Linked DNA regions of Caenorhabditis elegans. The protein of the gene in region 3 purifies or fractionates together with the protein of the main gene of each other region. This does not show direct contact. Each region holds a gene or a part of one and is shown on either strand. Other genes may lie near its edges. The genes, in order: ZK470.6, C11D2.3 and elac-2.

Region 1 (9,149 bases), on a different chromosome or scaffold from region 3:
ACCTGAATCCCCCCAAAATTTTTTGACAATTTTCTGTAACAAGGCCAAAGTTCATTTTACCCCAGTTTTCTCTTCAATTTCATTTCATGTGACCTTCAATGTGGCTTCTTCCAACGAATGACCATTCGAACTAGTAGTAGCCATTGCTTATCACTGCGTCTCTACAGTTTCGTTTATAGATAGATAACCTTTGCAAATTTTTCGTCTATTTTGATTTGTTTCACACCTTGAAACCTGCCGTCACATGGGGCTGCGCGGTGAATTTCAGAAACACAGTACTAGCTTCCGATGAAGAGAAATATTTCTAAATTTTAGCAGAAACGTGAATCGCAAGGTTAGTATGTTTCATGATACAGTTGTTTTTACTTTTTTTTGCGGGCTACCGTATCCACTAGAGACATCAATATTGGGGTGGAGAAACAAATCCCAAGCTGCACGAGGGATAAAGTTGCTTCTTGATTAATTGAAAAAGTTGTTATTCTATCAGTAATTCCCTCCCCCTTTACTAACAAAATAAGTTGGGAAAAACTGAGGTTTTTGTGTTCTTTGTTCTTTTTTCCTTCGAATTTCACTGAAAGACGTAGTACATAGAACTCACTTTCCAGTGTCCTTACACGGGAAATCCGATTTGGTATATAAACTCCAAATCTCTTGTGTTCTGCCGTGAGATCTGCTCTGATTTCATCTTCTCGAACGCCATTCCATTTTTGCAACGATCGGGGATGAGTTGAATCTTCTTGAGCCCTGCCTACTTATCATTCACTTCCTTTTTTTCTGTCAAATAAAAACGTTACATTAATAATCATACTTTCATTTCAGATGAGCATTACAATACTCAACGACCCCCAACTTTCCTCCGATGTTTACGATCTTTTGATGTCAAGGACACAAACACTTGGCTCCTTCTGTGAATCCTTCATCCCTAACTCGAGAATTTTGAGCTTTAATTCTACATCAAGCATACCACAATCCGGACGCAAAACCGACAGATTCCCGTCCTATGGAAACAGTGGATAACTCCGATCGAGCGAGTAGGCAGCGATTTGACATCTCCAAAAGGCTACCGATCTCAACTTGTTATGTATATACTCTAATAACTGTTTTCTTGCCAACGTGTACAGATTATTTCACTATTTTTTGTTCCAAATGTTTTTTGTCCGGTCATGTTTTACCAAATAAATGAATGAGAAATTCAACGATTTTTTGTTGTATTTCTGAAAAATCGAAAATATATGAAAACAATTCAATTGGTCATTAACAGATCAAGAACATGGACGTGAACATTTGAACTCGGAGAAGATGCCAATAACAAAACCAAGTGACATACTTGACATGAACAGTTGAATTTTTTATTAATCCACTTCCTTGAGTAAACTACAATCATTAAGATTAAACTGAAGTGAGAAGATAAAAATTTGAAAAAATTTAAAAACAACAGATAAGACGGTTTTATGTTTTAGGACTTCATCGTTCAACTTTCCAAAGATCGTAATCAACGAACAAAACACTAAATCACAAATCTTGAATTATTTTGAAATTTTCTCTTAAAAAAATGCCACAAATTATTCATCGCAGGGTTTGAGGACTGTTAAAACTTGTGAACTCACAACTTGTTTCTCAAGTGTTTGTGAACGTTACATTTTAGGTTCTCGTGCATTTTGATTGTTTTAAACAAATTGAAACGTGACATATGTTCAGATGTTCTAGAATTGAAATGTCCCATTCTTACTGAATATTCCGGCCAGCAGCTGTTTGTGCAAGTTCTAGGTACGGTTTTAAAATTGGTTTAAAATTTAGCAAATGTTGGAAAACTTTGACAAAGTTTTATAGAATCCTGCCCAAGTTTGAAAAACAATTCTGTGTCGTTTTATACTTGGGTAAGACTGGTCAAACTTTGAACAATCATTGAAAAAGCTTAGATTTGAGCTCCTCAAATTTTTGCTCGAGTCAAGCTTTTTTTAAGTTTGACAGTTTCACTCAGTTAGAAAAGGTCTGTTTCAAATATAAAGCATTAAAAATACGTCTTACATTTCATTTAAGTAGAAAAAACTGTACATATGCTATTTTTTTTACAAAGCGTAACACTTTACTCCAAAGTATGAAAGTTTTCATTGAAGCTGTAGTTGCGCCAGCGAGGAAAATTATTAAAACCTCCTATAATGCCAAAAATGGCCAAAAAACATTTCAAGAAGTGATGAAAAACGTTTTATTGACATTCAAATAGTGTCAATTACTGAGTTTGTGTCACTTTTTGAGAAAACTGTCGCAGGTTGGAATTCCTAAAGTGTTAGAGTATTAATATATGAAAAATAAGTCCATTAAAGTCGAAGGATCATTTTTCTGATTGACGACTTTCAAAAATCTGTGTTAACATTCTATGACAGTTAATAGAAATAAAAAGATTTCAAAAAAATTGTGAAGAGTTTAACTATGATATTTGGAAATTTTTAAACAAAATGTATGGTTTTTACTTATTTCCCCAGTAGGGTTACTTTGCCTTTGAGCTTACTCAGAAAACAAAAACTAAAAATAGGCAAAAGTTGTGCATGACCTTGGCAAAACTTGGAGGTTACACCAATATGCAACTGCAACTTGGATTTTGGCAGCACCAAACCCATGTTTGACTCAACTCTTGCCAAACATCTACCCAAGTTTAAAACGAAACAAGAAAATTTTGGGCCAAAGTTTGGCTAGAGTTGGGTCAAACTTCGGATAAGCTTTAGCCCAGCCTGAATCCAAGTTCTGCCAAAGTCCCGCCCAACTTTTGTCCAAGTTAATATTTTTAGGGTCAAACTTGAGCGAGAAGTTGAAGCCAAATGCCGAGAAGATCTAATATTAATCAATAAAAATTAAACAAATATTGATCATAGTCAAAGTACTTTGAAACCAGATTTTCATATTCAATCTTTTATTTTGACTTATTTTATTGTGTTTTTATATTGTACCGAAGCTTTTTATTATCTGCATTATCAGAGTTTCTCAGAACATTCCGCAATCTTTGTAACCTAAAATTATTTACTTCTCTCACATAAGTTATTACCGTATCTATTGTTGTCCTCAGCGTTCCCATCTTTCCAAAATGCCAGTGCACTAATTATTTATTGTGTAAAAGGTTAGCAAAAGGTTTCTTATACTAGACTGCATTCCAGCTACTGGTCTTATCCCGAACAACGCTTCCACTTCATTATCACCATTCCCGCGCACTTTCCCCGGTGTTATTTACTTTTTTCTCAACGATCAGGTTTATATACATATTTTTTAAAGTTTCGTTAATGTTAATCGCTTAACATATTGCATTTGATGCTCATTGGTCGACAAAAGTTTTGCAAGTAGTGTACATTACTCAACAAATATTATTTGTTTGTTGTTTTTCTTTTTGACTAATTAATTCCTCTGGAAGTTTTCTCCGCTGAGTAGCAAGAAATTAATTTACTCTCTCAGCAGAATGATTATGGAATTATGGAATTTTCAGCGTTATTACTCGAGATAAACATGTGTCAAAACAGAGATCTAACGAAAGCCGGATCCCATGTGATTTTCAATTCTTGTTATTCACACATGCACCTTAGTTGTTCCAGACCATTCCCACATATCAAAACAGAATATACTATATTATTCATTTTTTGATAACCTGTAACAGAGAGTCATAATCATAAACAACTGGATGAATAGAAACCACTTGGTTCTGGTGTTCACTGGGGGAGAAGGTAGGGAAGGGGAATTAAATTAATTGGGTTGCGTCCCGGTTATCGTTCATAAATACTGCTGATAAGGATCTTGGTAATAAATAAATAAAAAGTGTCTTGGTCTCAGAGTGTGATTCTAGTTTGGATCGTAGCACAAAGCAACTCTCGGTAGGGATCTCGATTGTCTCGGACTCGAACCATCATTTGGTAGGCGGACTGAAAAATTGAAGTATACTGAAGAAGTGGATTTCTTTTTAATATTTCAATTTAAGAAAAAAAAACGTATTTGCTAAGCGTCCGTCAACGGCTCTCCAGTACAATAGCCATCGCGTTTACCTTATGGTCAGTACCCACCAAGTCATAGTGAATCATTCGGAACAGATTCGTAAACAACTTTGTTGGATCAATCTCGAATTCGATAACCTGACGTCCCGGAGTCACCGGACATGACGGGTTGTCGTCACACATATCATAGTTGCTCCTTAAAAAAACATTCAATGTTTTTCGGTGTTCTGCAAAGAAAACAACTTACAACAGCCCAAAGCTTGGTAAAAACATCCACCCACATCCGAACCATCCGGTTGAACGTTTAAAGATTGACACTTCGACGCCCAAATTGTCATATCGTTTGTTAGAATTACTGGTGATGTCGAGGAAAATTCGAATAGGCGAGTTGAAGGAAACCGGGTAGGTATCATCACCGTTGCCGTTTGTAATTGCACCGCCGTGAAGTTCAAACTTTGTGTCTACAATTTTTGGTATTTAGGGCTCTGTTTTACTAGAAGTACTGTACCTTCTTTACACTGGAAAAACGACGGACGAACTCGTGTTCGATTCGGAAGAGCAACGCATTCTTCTTCTTGTTCTAGAGAAGAATCTGCCATAAGGTATGGAGCATCCGGTGCAACTTCAGGGTCATCAGTGTTATCTTCGTTCGAGCCAGCTACTTCTGCAGCTTGATTACTGGCATCTTGATGGCTACCAAAGTTTTTGAAAGATCGAAAACGAGCAGGCTAAAAAATAAACTAAATCAAAACAAACACAAGTAAACAAAAAAATACCACTTCTTTTTTAATTTCAGCGCTATCTTGCTCAAATTCTTCTAAACTTGCAAAAACAAAAGGGAATATTAAGAATAGTAGAATAAAACGGAAATTCATCGTTAACAGAATTTTTGTTGAAATCTTCACTTGGAAACTTTTTTGGAACTGGCCGCAACCTGGGTGTATCGAATGTTTAGAATAAAACACAGATGAGTGCAAATTGAATAGAGCACTCGACGCACGAAAAGGTGCGGGTTGGTTTTTGAATTGCCTCAGGTGCTAGCGGGAGGTCGACGGGTGCGCTCTGTTCTGCTGTTTTCTGTGCTTTATATACCTGACCGTCTTTTTTTGTAGAGCGCCCAACATGTGGGGCGTTCTTGAAAGTCCGACAAAAACGCGATTCGCACCTGGTTCCAAAGCTCCGCCAAATCACTCGAGAGCCCGCATTTGTCGCTCGATCAATTTCTAATTAGAGCAAATGGTGAAGCACTCGAGATTGCCATTTTTGGCATTTGAAGATTTGCTCATTGCTTTCTAGACGGCTCTCTTCCTCACTCTTGACAAGTTTTTATCAGACACTCGTCACAGAAATGGTCTGCTTATTTCCATGGGACAGTGCAAACACAGAGCACAAAATAAAAACAGAAAAATAACAGAGTTTCTTTATTGGAAAAAAATGAGGGGGATGGAGAAAAGAATAGCTTGCATGAAATACATGTTTCGATTAGAATCATGAAAGTCAGAAAAAAACCACAGAACAAAATTGCTGATATTACCAAAGAAAAATTAAATTCGACACATATAAAGCTACACGATGTGGACGATGCGATCACTGGGCCAAAACCGAAATGATCTTAGATCATGGTATGAACAAGGAATTATTGTGCTCAATGGAATGATGGAATAAAAAGTGAAATAAAAACAATCTCGATTCCCTTTGAAAAGGTGACATTGAACAATTGAATTGCTATAAAATGATGTGAAAGTGAAACAAGTTATGATTTGAATATTTAGAAAACATGGAAATTTAATGAAACTTTAACTATTATCCGTATACGATGACTGATCATCGATTGCATGGGCCAATGCAGCCGCCCGAAGGGAGTCAAAATTTTCAGCCCCTGATTGAGCAGCCATTCTTGAAAACAGCGAGCTCTGATCATCCAGCAAAGTGATCGGTTTGTCAAACTCGACGAGCTCTCCTTTTTCAAACACCTGCAAGTTGCGAACCTAGGCATTGTTTGCTTGTTGAGAAACCACTTACCATTACATTATCGCTGTTCATAATGGTGTGAAGACGGTGGGCCACCGTGATGATTGTGGCGTTTTTGAAAAAGTCTCGAATTGTTTTCTGGATGCAAGCATCTGTCACTCCATCAACATTTGCGGTTGCTTCATCAATAACAAGAATTTTGGATCGGTGGATCATTGCTCGGGCAAGACAGAAAAGTTGACGCTGACCGACAGACAGGCTGACTCCCCGTTGGCCCAATTCGACGTTCAATCCTTTTTCTTTTGTGATGGAACGTTTAAGCTCACACTGAAAATTTTTTCAACGATTATCCTACAGAATCTATTAAAAATTTCGATTTCATATGAATTTCGGAATCTCGTATTAAATTAGACCGTTGGATCAGATTTAGGCACACATAGGACAAAACTAGGGCTACGGTGAGGTGAAGTTTGAACTTGGTTAAAATATGAGAAAAAGTTGGATCAGACTTGGGAGGGGTCATGTCCAAGTCTTCCTCAAGTCTTGCTTATGTCTTGTCCAAGTCTTGCTCAATCTTTGCCCAGTCAACATTTTACTTTTTCAATAAAATTTGTAAAGCCAATGGTGTTAAAACAAGATTATAGGGGCCATAAAAATGGCTTATAAAAATTTCATTCTCACATGTTATTCTTCAATAAATTAAAGCCATACCTGCTCTAACGCAAACCAAATAGTAGCATCATCATACTCATCGAACGGGTCCAAATTCTCCCGGACCGTTCCTGAAAAGATTACGGGCTCCTGCGGAATGATAGACATTCCTCCTCTTCTGAAGTTAAGACTAATGTGATCCAGATCCACACCGTCGATAGTGACACGTCCAGAGCAGTACTCTTTCAGTCCAAAAATAATTTTAATGAGTGTTGATTTACCAGCACCAGTTCGGCCGACGACTCCAATCTAAGTTTCAGAAGTAATACTCTGAACAAAAAGTTAGTAACTCACCTTTTGTCCACCTAAAACAACAAAGCTAAGATTTTTGAGTACTTTGGTCTCCCCATAATTGACAGATACATTTTCAAACTCGATTTCTCCTTTCGTTGGCCAAGAGTTCAGTAGCTGTTTATCGAGGTATGCATCATGTGGTCTTCTGGCTTCTTCTTCAGATTTCAATTTGGTGTACTCTAGCACTCGTTCCACGGAAACCATCTGCAAATCGACAGTTTGAATTCAATCCGCATACTACTATGTTTGTATTGTCTTCATTTGCAACATTTGCTGTGTTCACATTGTATTCATTTAGAATAAAAGACCGAATTGAGAGTTTCGGGTGGGTCGCTCATTTGGCGCCACCATGACAAACATTCCATTTGTGTTTGTTGTGATGTGTGTGTGTGTGTGTGTGTGGAAAATGCGACAAACCACTTCAATCGTCTGATCAGGGCAGTTCGCGCTTGAGCATTGTCCAAAACTCTTTATAATCATGATGTTTCGCCAACCGCATAGTGAGCTCAATTCGACCTTTGATGGCGGAGCAGGAGGAGGAGAAGGGGGAGCAAATTGGAGGAATCTCCCGCGATAAAAAAAGAAACAAGCAAAAAATAAACTCACCCCGTTCTCCAGCTCGGCGCTTTGCCGCATGATCCACGAGAAGAATCCACTCAACTGAACCGCGCACACAAGGCACAATCCGACTTCTCCGACGGTCAGGGTTTCTAAAAATCTCGGAGTGTTGTTTTGAAATAAGATACGATGGACGCGGTGGATAAACGTTACTGTGTTGACTTACCATATTGAAGAACAACAACAATCGCCACAATGGAAACGAAAACAGACACCAAAAAGTCGATGCAAATTCCGAACCAACGGGCGGACAAAAGTCCCATGTTGTACGCGGCCATATAAACATCCTGTGAAAAGGTCAAATTTTAAAATAGTTCGTTCGAGAAATGGGCTCTGGCGTTAGGGAGGGGGGTCTTACCTAGGTGTTTTTAGGGGGTATTTCCTATAGGGTGGGTCTTAGAGGATCTTTTCTAGGTTGTCGTTTCCACTCTTCTAGGAGATTTTAGGGGTTCTTCTTTCTAAGAAAAATTCTTAGGGTTTTTCCGAGTAGTGTTTTAGGATAGGATGTCGTTCTTGTAGTCACTAATGGCCTTGAGCAACGTTAAAATCAGCTAAATTTAGTATTCCGATCAGGGATGTGCGGCGAAAAAACCTTTGACTTGCTCTGAGCTCAATCGGGCTCGACTTAACATAGATTAGTAAATTTTTAACATTCTCAAAAGTTTGGCAATATATTAAAATTGTACTTTGTAAAATAAAATGTATTCGAAACTTACATGAAGAGCGCAAAACTTTTCAATCATCTCGTTTTCTTTTCGGTATGCTCGAATAGTCGACAAACCATGGACAGTAGATGTAATAGTAGTGTTCAGTGGAGACCGAGCTGAAATATTCAAAACTGTTTTGTTTTCAAGAACCGCGAAGTAATGCTTACCGGCTGCCTCAATTCTCTTCAATTCCCGTGAACGATGAACGTACATTTTCCTACAGAAGTAGAACCCTGCAGTTATGAACGCGCAGGCAAGAATGACAATAGGTCTGACCATGGAGACTAATCCAACTATTCCCACAAATGTCAACGTACCCTGTAAACAAAGTTGAAGTTTGTTAAGATAATCAATAAATTATTGATAAACTTACAAAAACAAATTCAAAGTACGTGAACGCAAGCAAGTCATCAGTGAGGCCTATGTCTTTTGAAAAGCGATTCAGAATCATTCCTAAAACCAACAATGTTCTAAAGACCCTAGCCTGCCTAGACCCTAGCCTTACCTTCAGAATTTTTGTCGAAAAACTCGGATTCAGTTTTGAGAACACAGTCAAACATGGAATTATGAAGAATTCGAGAAGCCATCAATTGTGCATTGCGGAACCAAACCGATCGAACCACTCCGAGAATCGACATGATAACGGTACTGATAATGAATGTGAGTTCATAAGTTTGGAATGTGACATTGAACGTGTAACCAAGAACGTCAACATTCCTATTGAACTCTTCTTTGCTGGTACTGTTATCTGCATTGTTCATATCCAGATCTACCAACCTAAAAATTGAGTCTAGATCCCAACACACAAGAGTATTTCACGGACCATTTGTTCAACCACCAGTCGACAAAGTTATTCATAAGCTGAGTTATTAAAACA
Region 2 (10,792 bases), 1.4 Mb from region 3:
CAATTTTCAGAGAACTGGTCTCTTTCAAGAAGCTGCTCGAAAGTTCATGGTTGGTAGCTCGAGTGAGAAAAAACAAGTCAAGGTATTTTTTGAATTTCTAAGTATACTTTTTAAATGATGAGTGTAGTTTGTAGTTTGTAGTGATTCATGTCCTCTGTACAGTCAGAGTTTTGTTTGGTTTTTATATCCCATCTGAATAACCCCCAAACTAACTAACCCTAACTAGACACTTAACAGTTTTATTAATTGTATTCTTAAAAAATTAAATTTTTACTAATAAATCTATATATGGTTATATCTTACTTTTGATAAAGTTGTAGAAGTTTTTTGATAAAGTTGCAACGTTAGATTAACCGCAAAATTCCATCTTGTTTAATAATTGAAAGAGTAATATTTTTATTTCAAATTTAGTTTTTTAACTGCTTCACACAAAACACTCCCAGCCTCCACCCATTTTTGCCTACCGCTTTTTCTTATTTCCATTGCAGTCGCGATCGCCTGAAACCGTCCAGTTGCTTCCGAAACGAGCTAATTCTGAAATCCGAAAGGGTTCCGGACAGCCAAAGAATTTTCATGTGAGTTCGTGTCAATGCCTTTTTTTATTTTTATTTTTTTAATATCTAGTCTGTGTGTTTTGCAGCTTAAAGTAAAATGTAAAATGTTGTTTTCGTAATAATATATTCCAAATTTCAGCTCCAGCTAAACGTCTATGATCTACCTGACGTAGAAGAACGTGGAGAAGATTCTCCATTTTCTCCCAAAAACTTGTCTGATGATTTTAATGGAGAGCATTCACCATTGGTAATTCTTTCACTTTCATTTTCTTGAAATGGTTTTCAAAACTTGTAGGTGATAACTCCATCCTTGCCTGTACCACCGACACATGGAAGCCCTCGACCACTTATGCCATGTGAAACGACAAAAGATATTGAAAAATGGTGGAATTCCCTTGTTGATTAGTTCATTTTTTAATTATTTACATTCTCTTGTTGATCTATCTTTTTTAATGTATTCAGGTTATATTGTTACGAGGTATTCAAAAACGCTTTACGAATATTAATTGTGCTTTCACCGAATGAACAGATTTTTATTGGTTTCGTATATAAAATTTTTCAGATGTTTTCTTTTCAGGTTTCCAATGTAGTCCTTAATTTTGTACGATTAATCAAGAAAAATGTTTTTATTAGCGAAACTATTAGTGGGTAATTTAATTGATTTTTAGTTAAAGAAATACTTTTTAAAACATCTGAAAAAGCTGTAAAACGACGACTTTAATTTTTTAAATATAAAAATACAGCATTTTTTGTCGAGAAATAAAATGTGTTTCAGTCTGCATTGCGTACACGACACTTTAACGTACGACAATTTGCTAGGCACTGTGCAGAAGGAGGAGACGCAGAGACACATCTGCGGAGCGTCGTAACAAACACGTTTTTCTCTTTAAAATTTTTATTTTCATTTTTTACTACTCGGTAGAATTGTCACATATTTTTCACTTTTTAGGTCAGAAAATGCTTATTGACGAAGTCCTCGGTCCTGCGGAATCTGGAAAATTCATCGTCGAGCATGGAAATCTCGTCAAAATCAACCAGGCAGGCGTTCGAAAAGTAGCAGAACATGTAAATCCTAAAAATAAATGTTGAATGAATGTAGATTAATATTTATAGATTCTCGGAGCTGCAAAAGATGGATCTCTGAAAGAAGCTCTTTTCTTATCGCCGGAATTACACCCGAAAAGTGGAGATAAAGATGCCGTCCAGTGGTGAGAAAACTTAAATTGTAACTATTCCTCAAATCTGATCTTTTTAAATTTGAAATCATATTAAATTGAATTAATTTCAGGGTATTATTGGTGGATACAATCAATTTCTCATTCTGGCCGGATGAGGGAGATCACTATGATGTTAGCTGGGGTGGAAAAGCTTACACTGGTTACTTCGCAGCATGTGCCGCTGTCAACAAGGCTATAGCCGCCGGAATTCCAGTACTTTCTGCTGAATGGATGAAAAATGTTGGCAGAGAAGAAATCGACAGGATTTTCAAATCCGATTCAGGACACTCAATTCCACTACTTGACGATCGAGTGAAGGCTATCAATGATTCAGGAAAAGTTCTTCTCGAGAAATTCGATGGACAATTTTATAATTGTGTTATAAAATCAGAGAAATCCGCTCAAACTTTGCTGAAATTAATCGTCGAAAACTTTGTCTCTTTCCGCGATTTTGCCGAATTCAACGGACAAAAAGTTTCGCTTCTGAAGAGAGCACAGATTCTCGTTGCGGATGTCTATGGATCCCTTCAAGGTCACGATGATGCGGGAAATTTCAAGGATATTACCACGATCACAATGTTTGCTGACTATCGTGTTCCGCAAGCTCTCGCTTATCTTGGTGCTCTGGATTATTCAGAAGAACTTTTGAGCCAATTGGGTGAAGGAAAACGATTGGAGAATGGATCAAAAGCGGAAGTTGAACTCAGAGGAGCATCTATTGCAGTTTGCGATGTAAGATTCCAGATATTTCTGAAATTTTGTTGTATTAAACGCTAAATTTTCAGGAAATTGTCGCCAAGATGAACGAACTTCGTGAAACCGATCCAAGATTCTCTGATGTTTGTGAAGTTAACGCCATGGAAGTTGATGTCTATGTCTGGGGATATCGTCGACTTTATGCTGCGGATGTTGAAAAGAAAGTCCCGTTCCACAGGACTCGCTGTATTTATTATTAAATCTGTATATGTAAATATTAGTATTTAATTTTTAGTGTGAATTCTAGTGATTTTAGCTTTTCGTATCATCTTCTGTTTTCATTCCGTGTTTTTTTTCTTTCACAGGTTTTAAATACTTTATTTAACACATTCCATTGACACTTCACTTTGAGCCTTAATTTGTTATATGAATTTTAACATTGTTTTTATTTTGCTGAATTCTTTTGTTTTGGTTGTATACCAATTTTTTAAACTTATCCTTGTTTTCATTTAGTTCAAATCTTACAATTTTTTTTCAAGAACCATGTTCAAAAAATTCGACGAGAAGGAAGATGTGACAGGCGCTACTCAGCTCAAGTCCAGTGTTCAGGTATCATCTTTAATTTTAATTAACTAATAATTATAAAAATTTTTAGAAAGGAATTCGCAAGAAGCTGATCGAGAACTTCCCCTACTTGGAGCCACATCTTGAGGAGATCCTCCCGAAAAAGGAGAATTTCAAAGTGATCAAATGCAAGGATCACATTGAATTGCTCGCCGATCATCTGGGTGTCGTGCGATTTGTTAAAACACGTAACACTGATTACATTCCAACTTTGAGAACACTTCACAAGTATCCATTCATTCTTCCACATCAACAGGTTGGTTATAAATTGATTATTTACCTGGTTCAACATTTCCATTTATTGATGAAAATTCAAATTTCAGGTCGACAAAGGTGCCATCAAATTCATCCTGAACGGATCTTCAATAATGTGTCCTGGATTAACATCGCCAGGAGCTAAACTCACTCCTCTCGTACCAAAGGATTCAGTGGTTGCTGTGATGGCTGAAGGAAAGCAACATGCGTTGGCAATTGGTTTGATGTCAATGAGCAGTGAGGAAATTCAATCTGTGAATAAAGGAAACGGAATTGAAAATCTTCATTATTTGAACGATGGGCTGTGGCACTTGGCTGAAAAATCGTTGAACTGATGTGCTCGAATTCCCGGTCGTCGTGCTCTTTATCAGACTTCCAATAATTTGAGATGATCTTTATTTTATATGTCCATTTTGGGATTTAATTTATATTTTCATGCACTTTCTTTTGTTGTATCTTTTCCTTTTCCATCTCGATTCTCATAAAATTTCCAAAGTTTTCCGTCGAGTTTCTTGATTCTCTTTTCTTCCCTTTCAATACGCCACGCTATTTCTTCCAGTTGAGATTCCTCATTTTTGCGAACTTGCCTGCAATTTCTCAACATCAGAGCGAAACAAAACAAACTTCACTTACTGATTCGCGTGATGAGTCTGTCGTAATGCGTGAAGTTGAGTTGTCAAGCTGCTCAACTTAAAGGCTTTCTCCGAGAAATCATCGACTAAAACCTGAAAAGAATTGTCCAGAGCACATTGATACTTCTCGGTTACTTCATTGCAAACAGCCAAGCATCCAAGAGCCTCACTGATTTTATTATTCTGCTGCTCAATGTTCCTGGAAAAATTATTTTTGCATTAAAGTACACATGAGCAAATATTATCTCGCTAGGTATTTGGCGGGAAAACTGAAAATTCGAGCGATTTCTAAATATAATTATTACCATTTTCTAATCATTCTCCGTCTATTTTGATGTGTTTCCTGCTGGCCTAAACATGCATTTATAACAATTAATTCGGCACGAAAATCATTTAACAAACAACAGAAAAAATAACAAAAATGTTTGATAGCTGACAAAATCGGCAAAACTAACTGAAAAGTTTAAATTTACAGTCTTGGCACCTAATACGAGACCCAACTGTGGGAGGCGGGGCGGTTTTAATTGGCTGTGGAGCGCGTTTCCACATCGATTTCAAAGGGAACATTCTGCTCCTTTGAAATCTCTTCTGCGTCCCCATAATAACTCACAATTCAATAGCATCAAGAAGTCCCCGCTTCTCGAAATAGTTTGTTCTCTGAGCATGTAGATTTCCCTGGATTTTCGCAAATCTAAATTGAAATTTCTGAAAAGAACTTTCTCAAACCAGGTACCGGATATCTCGTCGCGATACTACAGTAATCTACAGTTCATCATACTCCGGCAACAGTATGATCGCTATGAGATATTATCGAAAGAATACGATCGCACAATTTTCTCATAATTTATTTTTGATTTACCTTGTTGACTAGGCTCCTCCTCTTCCTTTGACAAGACAGCCACAACAAAATAACAACGGCAACAAGATCAACAGGTAGATCAAAAATATATTATGAGAAATTTGTGCGATCGTATTTTTTCGATAATATCAGGGAAGTGATTATGTTCAGTAATTTTTGTAATTTATAAATTTTGGAAGATTTCACAAAAGCTATTAAATAACTTTTTTGCGGGACAAGAGACTAATTGCAAATTTTTTAAAGCTTTTGTTTATCTCAACCGGTGAAACAGTGAAAAAGCTTATGAAACATTTGTGAATTTTTATACTTAAAATTCTCATCAATTCAATCTCACAACACGAATATGTGTAGAATTCGAAGCCGAAAAAAATATTTTTTTTAATTTAGCCGCCTTAAAAATTCCAAAGATAAATTCCAAGAATAGTCGCGGACTTCGTGATGAAAAAAAAAATTTACTGTTTCAGAACTTTAATATCTTTTCATATAATCAGGATAAAACATTCAACCACCATTTTTTGGAAGATCCTATAGAATACAAATCGAAAAAAATGTTGTTTAATAGTAAACTTACGAACTGAACGCTCTGCTCAAATAGTCAACATCGTCCATTTTTGGTTTTTCACTGATATAGTTTGAAAAATATTGATTATCAATGCACAATGACGGTGTAATTGTTGGAATCGGAGGAAGTGATGGTCCAGGATCAGATGGTATGGGTTCATCTTCAGAAGGGACAGAGGTTACTTTCTGTAATATGAAAAGTTTCTAGTTTTCCATAGATATTTTTAATTACTCATGTTGTGGTTATTCTTCACAATAAACAAAACATTCAAGCGGGTCTCACAGCGAAATAAATTTTTTAAATATTAAACATTAAGTTTTCAGTCAAAAAATGTACTGTTACGTTGAAATGTTACTATTATTCAGATAACTTACTTGACCTTGTTTCCCTTTTGACTGAATAGAAGGTAACTTCACATATGAGATCCTCCTCGTTGATTTCTGCCATCTCAGTGTTGATGAAGAAGCACCAGGTTTGTTAGAACCTTCAACAAAATTTAATTTTATCACAGGTCTAAAGAGAAAACGTAAGAAATATAACTTTCTTACCTGCAATCGATGGGAACATTGAAACTTTTGAAAAGCAAAAATAAACTCAAATTTTGAGCAACATTTTGAGCAGCAGTGAAAGGTTACTGAACCAGTTTCAAATTTTATTTAGTGTCATGGCATGGCTCTGGTTGAGTTGCAAAATTGTCCAGTGAACTGGAAGCATAATTGGCAGAAAATAAAGGCTTGAGTGGAAAAAAAAATTAAAAAGTCAGGGCCAAAAGTGATTATGAATACGGATTTTTTGAAATTGCACGTTCATATATGACGTCACGCCTCTGCACGCCACTTTAAAATTCACGTATTTAGACAGCTTCAGATACCCACCAAAATGAGAGACACAGTCTCCTCCCAGCTTCTTCCTCTGCAAAACACCGAACAACAATTTACAAAAACAACAATTTACAAAAAGTTGCCGGTGTAGGCATTAGGAAGACGAATATTAGGGCCAGGAAAACGTCCCGTTCTCATCAAAGGGGATGTCTAGTGAACAACAATAAAACTGAAAATATTCGAATAGATTAAATTTGGTATCATTTGGAGTTATTATTACTATAAATATGAAGTACTTGAATCACTACAATAGTCGCATAAAAACTGAGATATGAATAAGTCTTTTTACATTCAACAATTGAATGTCAAATTACCATTCAATATTTGCTTTCTGGACATTAACCATGCACTTTTATTCACTGTCATGAGTTTTCTCTCGTGATATTATTCACACAGCTTTTGTCCCTATCAAAAGAAATACGCGACTGTCACATTTATCTTTGTTTTGTCTATTTGCAAGTCAAATAAGTGTTCTACATTGATGCGCAGACACGAATGTTGGAATTAAACAGTTTTACAGAAAAATGGTTTACCTATAGGCTTACAGGCTATTATCTAGTCCTTGAAAATTAACGGCATCCAAGATTTTTATTCAGACAGGTTTTATGTTAAAGAGAAATAATCTTTTTTTGGGTCTATGTCTACTTTGAACATTGAAAACCTTTGAAAGGAAAGTTATATGGACCATACAAATAAAAACTTATTTTTTTTCTAATCATTGTAAGACAGGTCGTACAATTGGAAACAATTCGATTTCACCGCACCTATACCGTGAATATGAAACGATTTTCGATATTTTATAAACCCCTGAAAAGAAACGTGTGATTACTCAAATCGTTCAGCTCCCTCATTTTTTTTCCGATTTTGCCATTTTCTTACTTTAAATTTTAAAGTTTTGTTTCGTTTCACATTTTCCGCAAGGCTATAATTTTACGAGTGATCTACCCACATATTCAACTTCTTGATAAAAAATGTATTTTGAATTTGTTTTCTGTCCAATTGACCAATTTAAATGCTTGAAACTCCTATATACTTTGCAAAAAAAATTAATGTTTTTCATACATCATAAAACATATTCCAAACTCAGTTGAGAGTTAAATATAGAGTTGAATTTTGAATTGAGATCTGGAAAAATTTGACGTCAGAGGCATCTTCTTGACAAAACGTCGCAAGTTCATAGCAAATTTTTGCAATTTAGAAAATTAATTCAATAGAAATTTAAAAAATGGTCTGAAAATCTTTAGAAATTTGTTGAAAATTTAAAGTGCTCAACAGTAGTTGCAAGAGTACGCTAACAAATTGGACCGATTTGCCGAGTTCTTTTTTTGGGATTCTTGTTGAAAAATGATTGCCGCAAATTTAAGTGATTTGATCTTTGTGATACAGTAACCCAAGACATATGTCTACGTTACTGACAGCATTGATTTGCATATAGTGTATAGAATATGCACAGTCTGAAAATAGAACTATTTTCTTTGAACTTTGTAAATCAAATTTAATTATCCTTTAATTATTATTTTTTTTTAAATTATAATTTAAATCCCTGTAATTTTTGTCGGTTTCAAGAGTCCCATATTACCATTTACACGCTTTCTTTCAATTGTCCATAATTATTCATGAATTTTATTTTCTCCGCCCATTCGCTTTTGCCCACTATACTCAGTTGATGTTTCCATTTTCTTTTGTGGCTGTGCCCTCTTATCTTTTCTCTTATTGCCGTCCTCCTTCTCCACAGTCGCCTCTCTTTTTTTCTAATTTCGTTGTGTGTTTTTCAAATATTTTTGAATGTGATTTATGATTTTTGAGTTAATTTTCTTGAAAAAGAGGTGAGAGAGAAGGCATTTGGAGCATTTTTTTATGGGGATATTTTTTCGAAAATACTAAAAACCACTTATTTATTTAAACATTGTGCACCAACTTACTCAACATACCTTAACTTACATTACATTTCCAAATTATTATAGGCATAGCTCCGACAAAAAGCGAGAACTTTTATGACTTTTCAAAATTTGAACAGCGAAAGGTCGTTTGTTTCTCTTTTTATGAGGCGTGCCAGGTGCAGCGAGAGAGAAGAAAGGAAACTGTAGATTATGAATCATTTGTAGATAAAAATTGACTTTTCATTCCGTTTTTTTTCCCGCTATTTTTTATTAAATATAATGTTCCAGCTACTACTGGACAGCTTGATAGTAATTATGAATGGAACCGAAGAATGTGAACGACAACCGGCACAAGACGGACAAAAAATGGAGAATGAAGTCTGTGAAGGTACGTAGTTTATATTCAAAATAATTAAATCGATTTTTTAAATATATCTTCCCACAGTAACTGTTACTGAATTCGACTAATCTCTCAATTCATGCTTTCTCAGAAACCGTAGATAATTTATTTTTGTTACAACCTATCCAAATTCCCAGAAGTTTTTTCAGCAATTGCTTCACTATTTCATCTCTTCATAGTTAAGCTCCGAGCTCTCTCCTTATTAGATTTTCTTCGTGTTTCAAAAATATAATTTCTGATTTTCACGTAATAATCATAAATCCTTAATCTTCTGAGTCAGTAAGAGTTTTAAATACCGAAATAACGATACAAAGTAGAAAATCTAATCCGGATTTGTTCCTTTATTCCACGAATTAAGACAATTTGTCGTGTACGGATTATTTTCGAAAATAATTTATGTTTCAGGTGTAGCCAACACGTCAGAAGGGGGAAGTGACGGGAAGATTTCAGAAACGGAAAATGAGACGGGGGATCTGGAAGAAATCCCAGGTGCTGAAGTAGTAGCTGATCCAAATGAGCATGCTTCCAATGAAGCTGAGATTCAGAATGACTCAGAAATCTTGGATGTTGGTGAGTTCTTGTGAATTTTTTCATGGTATTTTGAAAGATCTAAGCGATCACCTAGTTCCGTCCATTTAAGCATCTTCTTTTGGTTTGTCTGAAATTTCCGCTCAATGTTTTTGGCGTATATGTTTCCGGTCGGATTATTTATTTGTAGAGCCAAAAATACATTATTTTAATCTGACTATGCTCCCTCCCCTCCTACGTCAATGTAAATCTCGAAACATTTATAATTTAGTTAAGAAGTTTGCATAACATGCATGTAATCACCGAAAAAGTTTACAGGGACAATTTAGGAATTTCAGCTTGAGTCTCAAAGACTCCAACAAAGGCTAAAGAAAGTTTTCCAGACTATTAAAAAATACTGTTTCACCACTAGCTCTTCAATAGCAATAAATTTCTGACCATATTCGTTTTACATGTAAATTTACAACATTGTCTCTATCTGCGGAATCTGTAACTGTTTCAAAACCCAAAAAAAAAATTAAGATACAATGTAGAATATCTAATGCGGATTCGTTTCTTTATTCTATCAGTTGCTCCAATTTGTGCGGATTATTTTCGAAAATTACATGTGTTCCAGGTGAGACCAACACTTCAGGATCCGAAAATGAAGAAAACACTTCACAAAATAAAATGGAGGATCTGGAAGAAATCCCAGTTGCTGAGAAAGTTGCTGATCTAATTGAGCATGCTTCCGATGAAGCTGAGAATGATAATGGCTCAGACATCCCCGACATGGGTAAGTTTCTCTGTCAGTTTCAGTTATTGTGAGAGGTCTAAGCGACCACCTAGTTGGTCTATTTTGGCATCTTCCTCTGGTTTATCTGAAATTTACACTCAATGTTTTGGATTATATGTTTCTGATCAGAATATTTATTTGTAAAGCTAAAAACACATCATTTTAATTTGACTTGGCTTCCCCAGAGTACGTCAATGAAAATACTAAACATTTAAAATTTAATTTAAGAACTTGCATAACATGGATCTTAATCACTGAAAAATGTCAGAGGACAAATTAGGAAATTAATTTCAGCTTGAGTTTTGAAGGCTTCAACAAAATTTTCCAGACTATAAAAAAACACTGTTTCACCACTAGCTCTTCAGTAGCAAATACCTTCTAGTCATAGTTTACTCTTCATTTGCGGTAATCTGCTGAATCAGTAAGTTATTAAAAAGGAGTTTACTTCAACATTAAAAAGTAATGCAATTTAAATATTCTGTCTATGATTTTCCTTAATCTGCTGTGACAGTAAGTGCTCCAAAAGTTGAGATACAATGTAGAAAATCTCAGGATGTGTTTCTTCATTCCATGAATTGAGCAAATTTGTCGTGTACGGATTATATTTAAAAATAACATGTGTTTCAGGTGAGACCAACACTCCAGGAGGCGGTAGTGAAGAAAACACTTTGAAAAATAAATTAGAGGATCTGGAAGAAATTCCAGTTGCTGATCCAATTGAGCATGCTTTCGATGGAGCTGAGAATGATAATGGTTCAGACATTCCTGATATTGGTAAACCACTTCATTCAGTTATTGTGAAAGATTTAAGCGACCACCTCGTTCCGTCCATTTTGATATCGTCCTCTGATTTGTCTGAAGTTTCCGTTCAATATTTGTGGAGTATATTTTTCTGGTCCGATTTCGTATTTGTAAAGCCCAAAATACGT
Region 3 (12,516 bases):
CAAAGAACAGGATAAATAATAGATCGTAGGGATTGAATTTTAATGATCAAGAGTAGATGTCGCTCATTTCCTAGCATAGTTATCCTTGTTTAATTTGGATACAAATTTTTTTGAATGATGGTTGACTTAACGTTTCCTAATTTTAGATTTACATCTGCTCCAAGAGAACTTATTTTTATAATGCGTTCTAGTGTTGTCCGAGAATGTAAAAAATACAGGTACTTTCAGATATATTTTACCGTTTAACATTTTCAAAATAATTTTTTTATCGGTGTTCAGGCGTCGTTCTTGCAGCGTTGTGATAACAAATAATTCATTTCTTTCGGTCGAGGCTTTATATTCCGAAACACTTATTGTACAAATACGCGTATATTACTTGATAATCATTTCTGTGTTTTGAAAAGTGAATAAAATGTGTCCCAGAGGAACATGGTTAAATACAATTTTAGTTCGACCCCTTTTCTCGATTTTAATCAATACATTTCTGTGATAGCATTGAGAAGGAGAACACCAATATTTCAATCTGCTATAGAGTTTCGAGTCGGTACAAATATTTTCTAAGATGTGTACAACATTTGGAAGCGGGTGTTCCCTGAATTTTTGTAAAAAAAATTAGAGACTCTGTAGTTTTTTATATCAAACAGTTTCCCTCCCAACCCCGATTGAAACCATCACAGTGACTTTGGTATTTTCCTTTCTCAGAAAATCGATTCTCAAGTATTCTCAAGATTCTCAAGCAGTATGTTGTTGTATTTTTATTGACATCAATTGATTACATGGTATGGGGTAATTGGTTTTTTGAGGGATTCCAGCATACAAAACATGACAGATGTGTTAGCTAATAGAGAGGATTATGAGCCATGAGACCTAGAGACAAGAAAATGTTGGGCTAATATTGACTAGTCCTCATTTGAATAGCAGCAGATATCCCTTTTTCAATTATACATGCATATTTTCAATTGAAATTTCAACAAAAAATCATTTAAAACATTAAAAATTGTGTTTTGACGTTGATAAAATATTTGTATGAATTTTCAGACAATTTTTCATAACTAAATCAATATTGTCAGACTAACGATCAAATTGTACCTAATAGAAAAGTTGTCGAAATTGAACTTCAACTACTAACAGTTTTTGATATGTTCCATGAAACAAAAGTTCGAAATTTTTCAAAATATTTCTCAAAACTTTGAACAGACGTAATAATTGTTGAATTTTTAGAGAAGTTTAATTAAGTTTTTTCGGCATTTTACATGATTCAATCACTTGCATTTGTTTTGATAATTCTCTTGAGAATGAGTTGCTACTCATAATTATTGATAACTGAGTTGTACGAGAAAACTTTTTTAATGCATTCTGAAGTAGGAATCTAATCAGATCTAGTGCATACATGGAGAAAGACTGTTAAACTGTTCTAACATGTGCGTGTCTCTGCACGCTTTAGACAAAGAAAAATATGTATAATATCTCTAAGATGAGAATTAGAGAATTGGGGAAGGGGGGTCAACTGGACAGGACCACCCAATCTCTCCATCTGCTCATTCTTCATTTGTGGCCATGGTCGACGACGTATCTGTTCCTTTCCAACTGCTCAAATTACCTCAAAAATCGAGTAACTACGTGTTTCACAGAATGCTTGTAGCAGATTTGTAAGTAAAACATATTTTTTCCAATGTTAACTCAAATTATTTTTGATCAAATATCACTCAATCACATCTCAATCAATCACACAAAATATCACAAAAAATACCACTAGTGGAATTTTATTAGATAATTATTGATTTCCTATCACTCAACCTGAACAATGTTTTTTTACAGAATAGGATTCTCACTCACATCTAAAAATGCAAAGCTACAAACAAAACGCCTAGGTCTGAAAGCCGAGGATGTCCATCTTGAAATACGTTCTGGCATAATAATTCATATTTCCCTTCAACATACTTTCACGTATTTTAAATTCTACACTAACGAATACCGAACCTCAGAGCATCGTCTTGAAGAAGAGTGCATTAATATGTATCTCTGTACTCGATTGGGTGAATGGAAGACACCTATATTTCGAGTGAGACAGTTTTTGGATCACGTTCTTGATATATTTCATGTAACAAACATTAGTGAACTAGAGATTACAACCGATCATTTTGAAACTACAATCTATGATAGTTTTGATAAACTGGAAATAGAATCTTTCTCCATGTATCATATCGATCTGAATAGATTGTCACTTCAGTATGCATTGAAAAAGTTTTCTCGTAAAGCTAATCAGTTATCAATTTTAATGAGTCGCAACCCATTCACAGCAGAAACATCTAAACAATTGCAAGTGGTTTTAACACGTAACATGGACCATATTGTTCTATATCACCCTATCAAATATGATCTGAACGATTTATTCGTTACTAATACTTATTCACTCATGGTTGACATGAAAATTGAAGATGTTAATATGTTCTTAAAACACTGGATTCACGGACTCGACAGAAAGTTAGAACTAGCTTGCTTTGGCTACAAAGAACTCCAATTGAAAAATGAAGCAGTTGTTGAAATACTCTTCAAAAATGTGGATTATCAAGTTGCACCAGCGGAAAGAGAATTGACAATTCATCCTACCGGATCCCAGCAGATATGTGTCAAAGGTGGTTATGATGTTAGACGAGTCGATGGAACAGAGGAAAATATTACTGTCAATAGTCAGCGAAGTTTGATTGATATGGTATTTTGGAGTTAAATTATCATTCGGTTTTTAATTAATACTAAATATGTATACTTGATTAATTATTTTAATAATTGTATTTAATACTTTAATATATATGCATATGCATTTTCAAACTGACAATGAATAAATATATTAAATTTCTACTTTAAAGTGTTCAATTTTAAGAATGTCTGACTAAAATTCCGGGTTCACTTTTTGAATCAGTTCATTTTTTCTGCTATTGCGCCACAAACGTTCAAAGGAATATTCTCTATCCACTTGAATTTATCAAGATTATGAAAATTTACACTTCTTGGGCGGAAAAAAGTTTTGACGCACATAATACGGAAACGCCGAAAAATTCCCCTATTAAACACGAACGCCGTGATCCACGGCCAATTGAAAACGTCCCGCCTTTCAACTTGTTAGGTATTGGCGGGTAAACTAGGAATTCAAACGCTTTCATTTTTCTGAACGGTTTCAATCGTTAAAACTGATAACATAAAATTGATAATAAAATTTAAAAAGCAGTAGAATTCCCTTTTTCAATATCACATGCATTTTTTTTAAACAAAATAATCATTTAAAACAATTTTCAAAAAAGTCGAAAACCGCCTGTATATTTGGTTTTACCGCTAAATACCTAACGAGACCCAACGGTTGGGGTAGTCGTTTTATTTGGAGCGCGATTGCGCCTCAATTTCAAAGAGATCAGTTTTGTGCGTCCCCAATAGAACACTTGTAATTGTAACTTCACATATTGTTCTTCTGAAAAAAAGAAGCTTAATAGTACCATATAAATTTTTATTGCTGGAACCAAAAATTTTTTGTTCCAAAACTTTCCGAGAAAAAAACCTTGACAACAAAACAAGAAAATGAAAACAAAAGTAACAATGAACTAAAAACGTGAATAACTGGATGAAAAGTGAATTAATGTTGAATGTGGCCAGTCACTCAAGCCTTTAATTGACCTCGCTTTTCAGACAATTCCTTGTCTTTCAAAACCCGTTGTTCTTTTTTGATGGTTAATTCGAATAGTTCCGCCACGAATACTTCTCTGTAAATTTATAAATTTATTTATTTCAACATTTTGCTTTAAATGACAGAAAATGGACCACAAGAACCGAATATAACTGTTAAAAATTAATAAAATTATAAAATATTTCTGAATTTTTTGAAAATTGTTTCAATTTTGCAAAAAAAAATTCGAGCACAGTTATATTCGGTCATTATGGCCCATTTTCTCCTGAATACTGAATCTGAAATCTACCTAAAAATGGGAAGAAGTTTCGAAACAAGTGGTAAATGATCGAATCGAACTCTCAACATATCCATCGCCACACCAATATTTTCCTTATCAAGATATTCAGGAAGAACTGGTACTTTTGGATATCTCGCACTGAAATGTGTCAGAATAATGTGCTTGGCATTCATTCGTTTTCCAACATCGACTGCTTGACCCATTGTTGAATGACGTTTTCTCATTGCATCAGCCTGAAATTAATTGGTTGAAAAATTTCAATATTTGCCTTAAAAAACCAAAATAGTCCGAAACTCAGAAAAAATTCGCTGTTTGAATGCCTGCCAAATGAGAAATATGACAAATCAGCGAATAGCTCCGCCCATATTTCGACCAATCAGGCGGAATGAGAGGAGCAAGTCGCTGATTGGTCTTGAAGTTCTCAGTTTGGATGGAATTCAAATTAAAAAAAAAAACTGAAAAAGCGGGTTTCTAATAGTTGGATTTTTCATTATTGCACTAAAAATACGTAATATAGGGTCTCGACACGACAAAATTTTTGCCGAATGCAAAAAGTTATTCGCCTTTGAAGAATACTGTAGGTTCAAACTTTTGTTTCTGCAAGATTTCCATCGATTTTTCTCACAAGTTTATATATTTCTCAACGAAAAACTATGAAAATTCGATGAAAATTCTGTTATCTTCAATCTCTGCATTTATCCAAAAATTGTCGTGTTGAGACCCTAGCTACCGTATTTTGGCTAAAAATCTCGTACAATTTAGTAATAAAACCAAAGACGAAATTTTAGCCAATTTTTTTGGGGGTTTTGGTGTCATATCTACCTCATGACCATCTTCAAAAGTGGATTCATGAACAAGAACATCAGCATCTTTTCCTTCTTCAACCAACAAATCACATGGTTTCGTATCTCCAGAGAATACAATTCGTTTTCCAGCAACTCTCATCACAAATCCATTTGCCATTCTTGTATGATGAACTTGTACAGCCTTCAGCTCATCCAGCTTCCATGCCTTTTTATCGAAACTGCTCGACATATCCTGTAGAACATCTCTGCTCGGCGGGAGATGTGGGCTCGGAAGTCTCGGTCTTTTTCCAGGAGGCCCTCCAGGGCTCCCGGGAGGTGTTAGTGGATACCTGGAGATATCAACAATTTCGAGGAGATGCTCAATGTTTTCAAAGCAAATTGAGTAGGTCTTCATTGGTTTCAGAACATTCCGATTGCATACAAGGACTAGTGGACGGTAAGGGGCTCCGAGGGACTCGAAAGCTTCTTTTCTCCGTGCAATAATTGTGTACAGCCCATTCATATGATCCTGATGAGCGTGAGTGATAAGGACGCAGTTGAGATTTACCAGAAGCTGCTTACAACCATCTTCTCCAAAAACTGCTCTCATTTGTCCATATGTTCCTTCTCCAACATCAATTAAAATCGCACTGTTCTCTGATGCTTCCACCAGATATCCTGTCACATTTCGATATTTTGATGGAACCGCGGACGAAGTTCCGAAGAATGTTAATTTCGGAAATTCGCAGTCCATTTTATTCTCCTTCTCCAACTTCTGATATTCCTTAATCAATTCCTTCGCTTTATCCGACAGCTCTGGCTCAGCAGCTAGCAAATTGTTGACGATGGGCTCCTCGTTGAACGAAGCTCCTCGGCGCATCCAATATCGTTGCATTGGAGCCACTCGAATGAATTGATCCTGTCGTTGTGATAGCTCCTCATTTTGAGTTATAATTCCACTCCAATCAATTGGGTGAAGAGCTGGGAAGAGAGATGGAGCAATTGATCGAAGAAGGCGAGTGTGTCTGTAAATAACAATTTGGATTCTTAAAACCTATGGATTTTGTAAAACTGAAATTTTTTGAATTTTCTGATGCCGCGAGGGAACACGAAAACGGGATCTCGTCAAATAGAAGATCTGCGAAAACAGAGGTCCTGAAATCGTGCCAACTGCAGCTCTTGAGACCCTGGATCTTGTTTTCGCAGATCTCGAATTCGTAGATCTATTCAATATTTCATATTTTCCTTACTTATAGACACTTTCCACAGCTGGAATCACAGGATTCCCTCCATTGATCAGCAAATGAGTGATACTGGGATTGTTGAGCTTCTCCATCAAATGTCTGTAGGTTGGAGTATTGATTACTGCATCATCACTGATATGAACCATCTGAAAATGTATTTTTTAATGTCAATAATTCTTTTTTCAATCTTACATAATCCAACTGTTTTTCCCCATTCAAAAATGGTTGCAGTGATGATGAGTCTATCAGTGCTTTCACATGATCCTCTGTAGTACATTCTGTCACTAAAAGCAGTGGCTTGTCTCCTTCAACTTTATCCGATGAGAAAACTTGATCAGGTTGAATCGTCCTTCCATCTGGAAGAGTAACTGCTTCTCCTGATTTCAGTTTTCCAATTAGTGGACCTTTCGGTACTTTCAGTTCCATCAACTTCATCGTATCGATTCGTCTGGCTGCCTCCTTCATTTCGATTAAAAATGCAATGTCTACATTGTTGACTTTCACATTTTTACTTTTTTCGTTGTTACTTCCGATATTCAACGGTGGACTCAGAGGAATATATGTGACCTTTAATCCGGCATCCTCATAATTCTCCATTGTATATGGACGTTCTTCAACTTGAGATGGATACTTGCAGCTACCGTAATCCGAATCTTGAAATGGTCGAATACATTCCAAAAAGTGTTTGATATTCATTGCACCATGAAGTCGAGTAGACAATGCATTTGATTCCTTAGAAAGTAGAATTGATGAAATTCCAGCAATATTATCCCAATTTGCAGATGTGATGAAAAGATCAACGACGCTTGAACTTCGGATCCTAAGCTGCCACAGGAATCTGCATGCATTCTCAGGGCAGTTGAACATGTAGGTTTTCAGTGGTGTTCGAAGGATGAAGCATGCTCGGAGAAGTCCTGTTCCATTACCGAGAACTTCGATCGATACTTGACTGGGAATGTTGACAATTGAGTTGGCCGGTGGTTCGTGAGCCGCTTTTTGTTTCTTCTGCACTGCCGCCATTGATTGTCGCAGATTTGAGATGCTTGCGTTTACTTCTCGAGCTCTGAAATATTGGTAAAGTTTATTAAATAGCGTCAAAAAAATCAAAAATTCGAATTTTTTCATACAGTTTATGTATTTTTCAACTGAAATTTTGAAAAAATTGACGGAAGCATGTCAAATTTCAAGTTTTGAGGTCGAACATATATGTGAAATCTTGAAAAATGTCTCTTTAACGCATTTTGCCATTCAACAAAATTGTCGTGCCGAGACCCCGTACTGTACTTTTCAGACAAAAAATCCCAATAAAACTCACTTCAAATGTGAAGACGAATGCTTCTGAAGAATTCGGCGATTTCTGGCAATTCTCTCCTTGATACTTTCTAATAATTCTTCGTTATTATCCTTAAATAAGCAGCTGGTTGAAGAAATCAAGTGACGAGAAACTCTGAAAAGTGAGATTGTGAAAAATTGCGAAATGTGAAAGTACTAGCGGAAAAACATGCAGAAATTAAAATTGTTGTTATCCAGGTGTGGAATTTTGCAAATCTCCAACAAACTAGGTCTCGACACGACAGTTTTTGCTGCAAAACTTGAAAAAGCGTGCGCCTTTAAAGAGTACTGTAGCTTCAAAGTCTCGCCGTGGATATATCCGCGCCAGTAGGCTGTTTTTTGTGCGCTTTCGATGACGAGACTGTGGGATACATATATAATTTTTTAAACACATACAATTTCAAGAAAACGGGATGAAAAACTATGAAATATCCGCAAAAACAAAAGTTTAAAATTACAGTACTCTTTAAAGGCGCACGCCTCTTTGCAGTTTGCAAAACTTTCTCGCGTCGAGACCATATACCGTATTTTTAGCATAAAAACATTTCATGCAATTTTCCGCAAAATTTCCGATATTTTTATACACTTTATGCCAAAAAACAACATTTTCATGTTTTCAAATTTTTAAAATGCATTTCTAGCAAAAAACACCGTGAAATTCATTGTTTAAAAATCAAATATCGATATTTTCAGGCAAAATGTAGAAAAATTCCCGTTTTTTCTCAAAACCTGGAGTTTCTGTATAAAAATTTCGCGTTTTTTAAACGAGAAATCTCGAATTTCAAGGTTTTCGGGTAAAAAATAATGAAATTTCAGAATTTTTGCCTAAAATCGCAAATTTTCTCGTCTATTTCAATTGGGGGGACCACTCACAAACCCTTACAGAATCCGATTCTCTACAGTTTTCCTCGCAATCGCTCCGAGCATCAGCTTCGAGCTTTCAGCTGAAATTTATTTGAATTTCATGCACTCTATTGTGCTAAAGAGCTGGAAGTTAATGTATAATTTCAAGATTTAATTTTACTTTAAACACGATTGAATCATCATGATATTATAAACAACGTCTTCATCGGAAAAAGAAATAGGGAACAGTGAAGATTATTAAAAAGAAATTAAAGGGGAAAGAAATTCGAAAAAACAGGGGAGAGATGGAGATGCCGTGCACCCATACGGATCTGAAACTTGATTTTTGGAAGGAAAGCGCGAATCTAAATAAGATTCGTGATCGCAATGAACATCATCAACAAAACAAACAACACTAATGTAATATGTAACTAATAAAATTGGAGCTCCTAAAAAATGTAGAGGAATCGGCCGATCACCGAAGTTGGAGGGGGGAAAATTGAGATAAGAGACAAAAGCATAAAGAAAAACGGATATGAGTGAAAAAAGATTTAGGACAGATTTGGTAATCCAGTTGGAATTCCGAAGGGTCTCGTTTGGTCGAGTCCTGGTTCTGCTTGACTCTTTTGTCCCAGACTGCGTGGATCGTCGAGAGCTTCTGGCTGCAAAAATAGTGAATAAATAAATAAATAAGTTTTGAGCCAGAAAACAAAACATACCGGCGGCTGTGTTGGATCCATCATTGCTCCCATCCAGCGGGTGGTCACCAATCCGACTCCTTCGATCATAGCCAGAATTACAGAGCCAAGAATCGCACTTCCTGCCATCACCTAAACAAAAATTATTAAATTATTATTAATTCACTAAATTAAAGCTATTCTGCTACCTTTGGTCCTGAACGGATCGCCAAAAGAGCTCCAGTCAATCCTCCAGAAACAATAGAGTTGATGGGGTCTTCCTTCTTGCGGATGGCGACAAGACAACAATCGATTGTACTGAACATTCCTCCCCAAGCGGCAAACTGAACTCCTGTTAATGTGCTTCTCATTCGTACTTCTCGCATCATCCCAACCTAAATTAATCAATTAATTAAGTATTTTTGTCTTTAAAAAATTAATCACCAATTTCTTTCCTTTCGCCGCATTTTTATATCCTCCAAAAGCTTGGAAAATGGATCCTCCAACGAGACCCATCGCAAACGCCGATCCAATATCATCTCCGATACGATATGGGCTGGAAAAAATTATTTTCAGTAAAAAAACCAATTTTAGGAAATCTTACCATGGCTCTCTGGTGTACTCTTCCATTTTTGTGTGTATTTATTCCCTGAAAACAGAAATTGATTAAATTTATTGATTTTAAAGCGGTAAAAGTGCAGTTTTTTGTAAAGAATTGAGTTGAAAAATGAATCTGAAAGCTCGAGAAAAGTGCACGAGAAGTGCGCCATCACGCAAATTTCACGAGACATGCGTCAGCAAAGAATTGCTTGCGTCCTTCTTGACTTTCGTTTTTTCTATCGTTTTTATTTTTATTTATTTCTTTGAATCATTAACTTTTATCTTAAAAGTTTAAATCTTAAACATTAAAGTTAAATAAAATAAATATTTTCTTTAGTTTGTGACTAGATTTAATAAAAATTAACAAGGATAAATACTTTAAAAACAGTTTTTATTTAAGAATATAGATTATAAAAATGATAAAAATACATTGTGAATAGTTTAAGCTAGCAGAGTAGTTTGAAGTGCTCATAAATGGATAGAAGAAGTCGTGAGGTAGTCGAATATCAACGTAAGGTAAAGCTGAAAATATGTTCTTCGGAGGTGGTGTGACTTCTGTGAATGAAATTGAGATTGGCATACGAATTTCTTGGCCAGAAAGATACGGAACCTGAATAAAAAACTAATTTTGTATACATTAAATAAGAAGGTCATACATCATCTAAAAGTAGCTGTGAGTTTCCTGCAATTATAACCTCTCGATAGTTTTTTGTAGATCCTTGCTTGGAATAGTAGATTTGAAGTAACGAGGACACAGGTAAACGGCAGGATATTGTGGAAGGTGATAGCTGAAATTAAAAAAATATATAAATTAAATAGCTAATTAAATAATAAATACTTCTTCCCAAGTAACATTAACTCTCCCAACGGAAGCTGGATGTGCATCTTCTGAAGGCGATGAAACAAGTACGGATGGATAAACTTGTTCGTAGAATGCTCTCGCTTTTGCACGAGCATCTTCGCAATTTATTGTGGAAATCGTGCACACAGAAGACATCGATCGAAGGAAGAACACAGGAGATGGTGCAATAGATCCAGAATAGCAGTTGCCTAGTGTTGGAACAGCGAATGGAACGGGAATAGAACCTGAAATATTTTTGAAAATGTAGAACAAATATAAGATCTACAATTTGAAATAACCTTTAACCCTATAAGTTTGCTCCCCAGCTTTATATCCTACAACAGTCTGATTTGTCTCTATCTCACTGGCAACCACAAGCGGAATCCAATAAACTGAAAATGTCTGCTCGAACCAATTATTATCTACATTTCCAGGAAGACTATCATATTGGGCATCAATCTCAACGGAATTCGTTTTTATCCCATTCATTCGGAATATAATATTTGCAGATTTCAAAACTCCATAACACATTGAATTATTCCAAACTGGAGCTATAAATTGGGCGGTGCTGAGCCTTGGAATCGCAATCGTCTCATTTTCGGTTCGTTCTACAAAATCGCCGTTTCCAAACAGAGCCTGAGCATTGAGAAACTCATTTTCGGAACAATGAGACAAAATATCAGTGGTGGCGAGAGGCTTGCACTTTACTGTCATATTCCTTTTCGTTATCACATTTTGAGTTCCAGTACAGAAATCGGATGCTGAAATTGCAGCGGGAAATTTGAATAGGCGAACGGCTCTTGAACTTCCGAAATGTAAGAGTTCTAACTGAAAAAAAAAAGAAATCTCAATTCATTATTAACCGAAGTCTTGAGATTTATCTCGAAAACTACTGTATTTACCCGGTCTCAACACGACATAATTTTTTGATGCGAGGAGATGTGCGCCTTTAAAAGAGTACTGTAATTTCAAACTTTCATCTCTGCGAAATTTTTGATAGATTTTTCACATTTTCTCATGATTTGTAATATGTATGGGTAAATTATTAAAAATCAATGAAAATTCCGCAGAAACGAATATTTGAAATTACAGAACTCCTTTAAAGGCGCATATTTATCTTTTCGCGTTTTACAAACAAAAGCGTGTCGAGACCAGGTACAGTATTTCTGGCGCAAAATTTTCCGTCTGCGTAGATCTTTAATTGTGTTACATTTTCTTGTGAATCAGATTCATCTTGCTGCCATCTAGATTTTGAAAATTCGTTCCATTGCTCTTCGCCATTCACAATTTCCACGTCACCATATTCCAAATCATCTAAATTCAAAAAAGCTCCGTAATTTGTTCGCGTTCAGCTAAAAAAAGCCCACCATTTTGCTTGGAGACGCAGAACAAACGAGAAGTTGGAAATATCGAATCAATCCGGTGCCGAACAACTGACGGATAACAAACCTCTGGAGTATCAGCCGAACAATAAGTTAAAAGAAAAATAAATCCAAGAAGATGCATGACAAAAAGCTCGTTCCGATTTCTTGGTGCATTGGTGCCCATTTTGGTTGCTATGGTAGCGGAAGAGTGTACACCTGCTGTGATGCGACTGTGGGGAAAAGGAAAACGAATTTAGGAAAATTATTTATTTTCCAAATTGACGTATATTCTTGCTACTAAAAATGAGAATGACACAAAATTAGTGCAATATATAAAAGTAAAACAATCGAAAGTGCCTAACTATGAAAAATTGCCGTAGCTAGGCGAGAACATTTAGGGGAATATTTAGAGGGACTTGGCGGATTCAACCTCGATGTACTTGATGAGATCTGCACGCTCGTCAGCCTTCTTGAGTCCAGCGAACACCATCTTGGTTCCTGGGATGTACTTCTTTGGGTTGAGGAGGTACTCGAAGAGGGTCTCGCGGGTCCAGACGACTCCCTATAATTTTTAATTTATAATAAACGTTAAGAAATAATTTATTAGTTGTACCTTGTTCTTGTTAGCAGCGGAATAGTCGAATCCAGACACAGTTCCTGATGTACGTCCGATAACTCCGTGGAGGGTTGGTCCGGTCTTTGTGGCGGTCGAGTCAACGACGTGGCACTGCAAGCATCTCTGCTTGTACACCTTCTTTCCCTTTTCGTAATCTCCAGCTGGGATATCGGACATGTTGAACCCTTAAAATACAGAAATTAGTGAAATATATACTAAAAGAGTCTAGCAGGAAGAAACCGCCACAGCAGCACTTGG

What was found.
Region 1: the proteins of elac-2 (region 3) and ZK470.6 fractionate together in Caenorhabditis elegans (co-fractionation; one large-scale study listed by BioGRID). This does not show direct contact.
Region 2: the proteins of elac-2 (region 3) and C11D2.3 fractionate together in Caenorhabditis elegans (co-fractionation; one large-scale study listed by BioGRID). This does not show direct contact.

The regions. Positions count from the first base shown.
Region 1 is NC_003284.9:4,172,462-4,181,610, forward strand, and holds ZK470.6 (MD-2-related lipid-recognition domain-containing protein), read right to left. Parts: upstream 4,847-9,149; coding exon 4,748-4,846; intron 4,700-4,747; coding exon 4,480-4,699; intron 4,433-4,479; coding exon 4,219-4,432; intron 4,168-4,218; coding exon 4,023-4,167; intron 3,903-4,022; coding exon 3,810-3,902; 3' UTR 3,604-3,809; downstream 1-3,603. Other genes in the region: mrp-6 (Multidrug resistance-associated protein lethal(2)03659), read right to left, coding at 5,768-5,944, 5,994-6,269, 6,654-6,902, 6,948-7,151, 7,554-7,657, 7,732-7,852, 8,282-8,388, 8,440-8,590 and 3 more.
Region 2 is NC_003282.8:6,147,611-6,158,402, reverse strand, and holds C11D2.3 (BLOC-1-related complex subunit 5), read right to left. Parts: upstream 6,591-10,792; 5' UTR 6,501-6,590; intron 6,450-6,500; 5' UTR 5,967-6,449; coding exon 5,948-5,966; intron 5,884-5,947; coding exon 5,774-5,883; intron 5,585-5,773; coding exon 5,409-5,584; intron 5,360-5,408; exon of another isoform or gene 5,339-5,359; intron 5,064-5,338; exon of another isoform or gene 5,039-5,063; intron 4,670-5,038; coding exon 4,589-4,669; intron 4,178-4,588; coding exon 3,980-4,177; intron 3,934-3,979; coding exon 3,780-3,933; 3' UTR 3,726-3,779; downstream 1-3,725. Other genes in the region: unc-77 (Sodium leak channel NALCN), read left to right, coding at 11-82, 489-575, 694-801, 850-960; C11D2.4 (Queuosine 5'-phosphate N-glycosylase/hydrolase), read left to right, coding at 1,512-1,619, 1,668-1,762, 1,843-2,503, 2,557-2,727; C11D2.7 (PUA domain-containing protein), read left to right, coding at 3,011-3,076, 3,123-3,347, 3,415-3,681.
Region 3 is NC_003282.8:4,736,007-4,748,522, forward strand, and holds elac-2 (Zinc phosphodiesterase ELAC protein 2 homolog), read right to left. Parts: upstream 8,262-12,516; 5' UTR 8,245-8,261; coding exon 8,201-8,244; intron 7,433-8,200; coding exon 7,301-7,432; intron 7,049-7,300; coding exon 6,178-7,048; intron 6,132-6,177; coding exon 5,992-6,131; intron 5,767-5,991; coding exon 4,779-5,766; intron 4,190-4,778; coding exon 3,966-4,189; intron 3,753-3,965; coding exon 3,650-3,752; 3' UTR 3,484-3,649; downstream 1-3,483. Other genes in the region: fbxb-78 (F-box associated domain-containing protein), read left to right, coding at 1,558-1,649, 1,819-2,728; timm-17B.1 (putative mitochondrial import inner membrane translocase subunit tim-17B.1), read right to left, coding at 8,712-8,822, 8,880-8,990, 9,047-9,232, 9,282-9,393, 9,442-9,467; tctn-1 (Tectonic domain-containing protein), read right to left, coding at 9,829-10,047, 10,094-10,225, 10,276-10,523, 10,578-11,106, 11,489-11,592, 11,646-11,826; cyc-2.1 (Cytochrome c 2.1), read right to left, coding at 12,049-12,204, 12,256-12,435. UniProt on the Caenorhabditis elegans protein: Zinc phosphodiesterase, which displays some tRNA 3'-processing endonuclease activity. Probably involved in tRNA maturation, by removing a 3'-trailer from precursor tRNA. Involved in germline proliferation.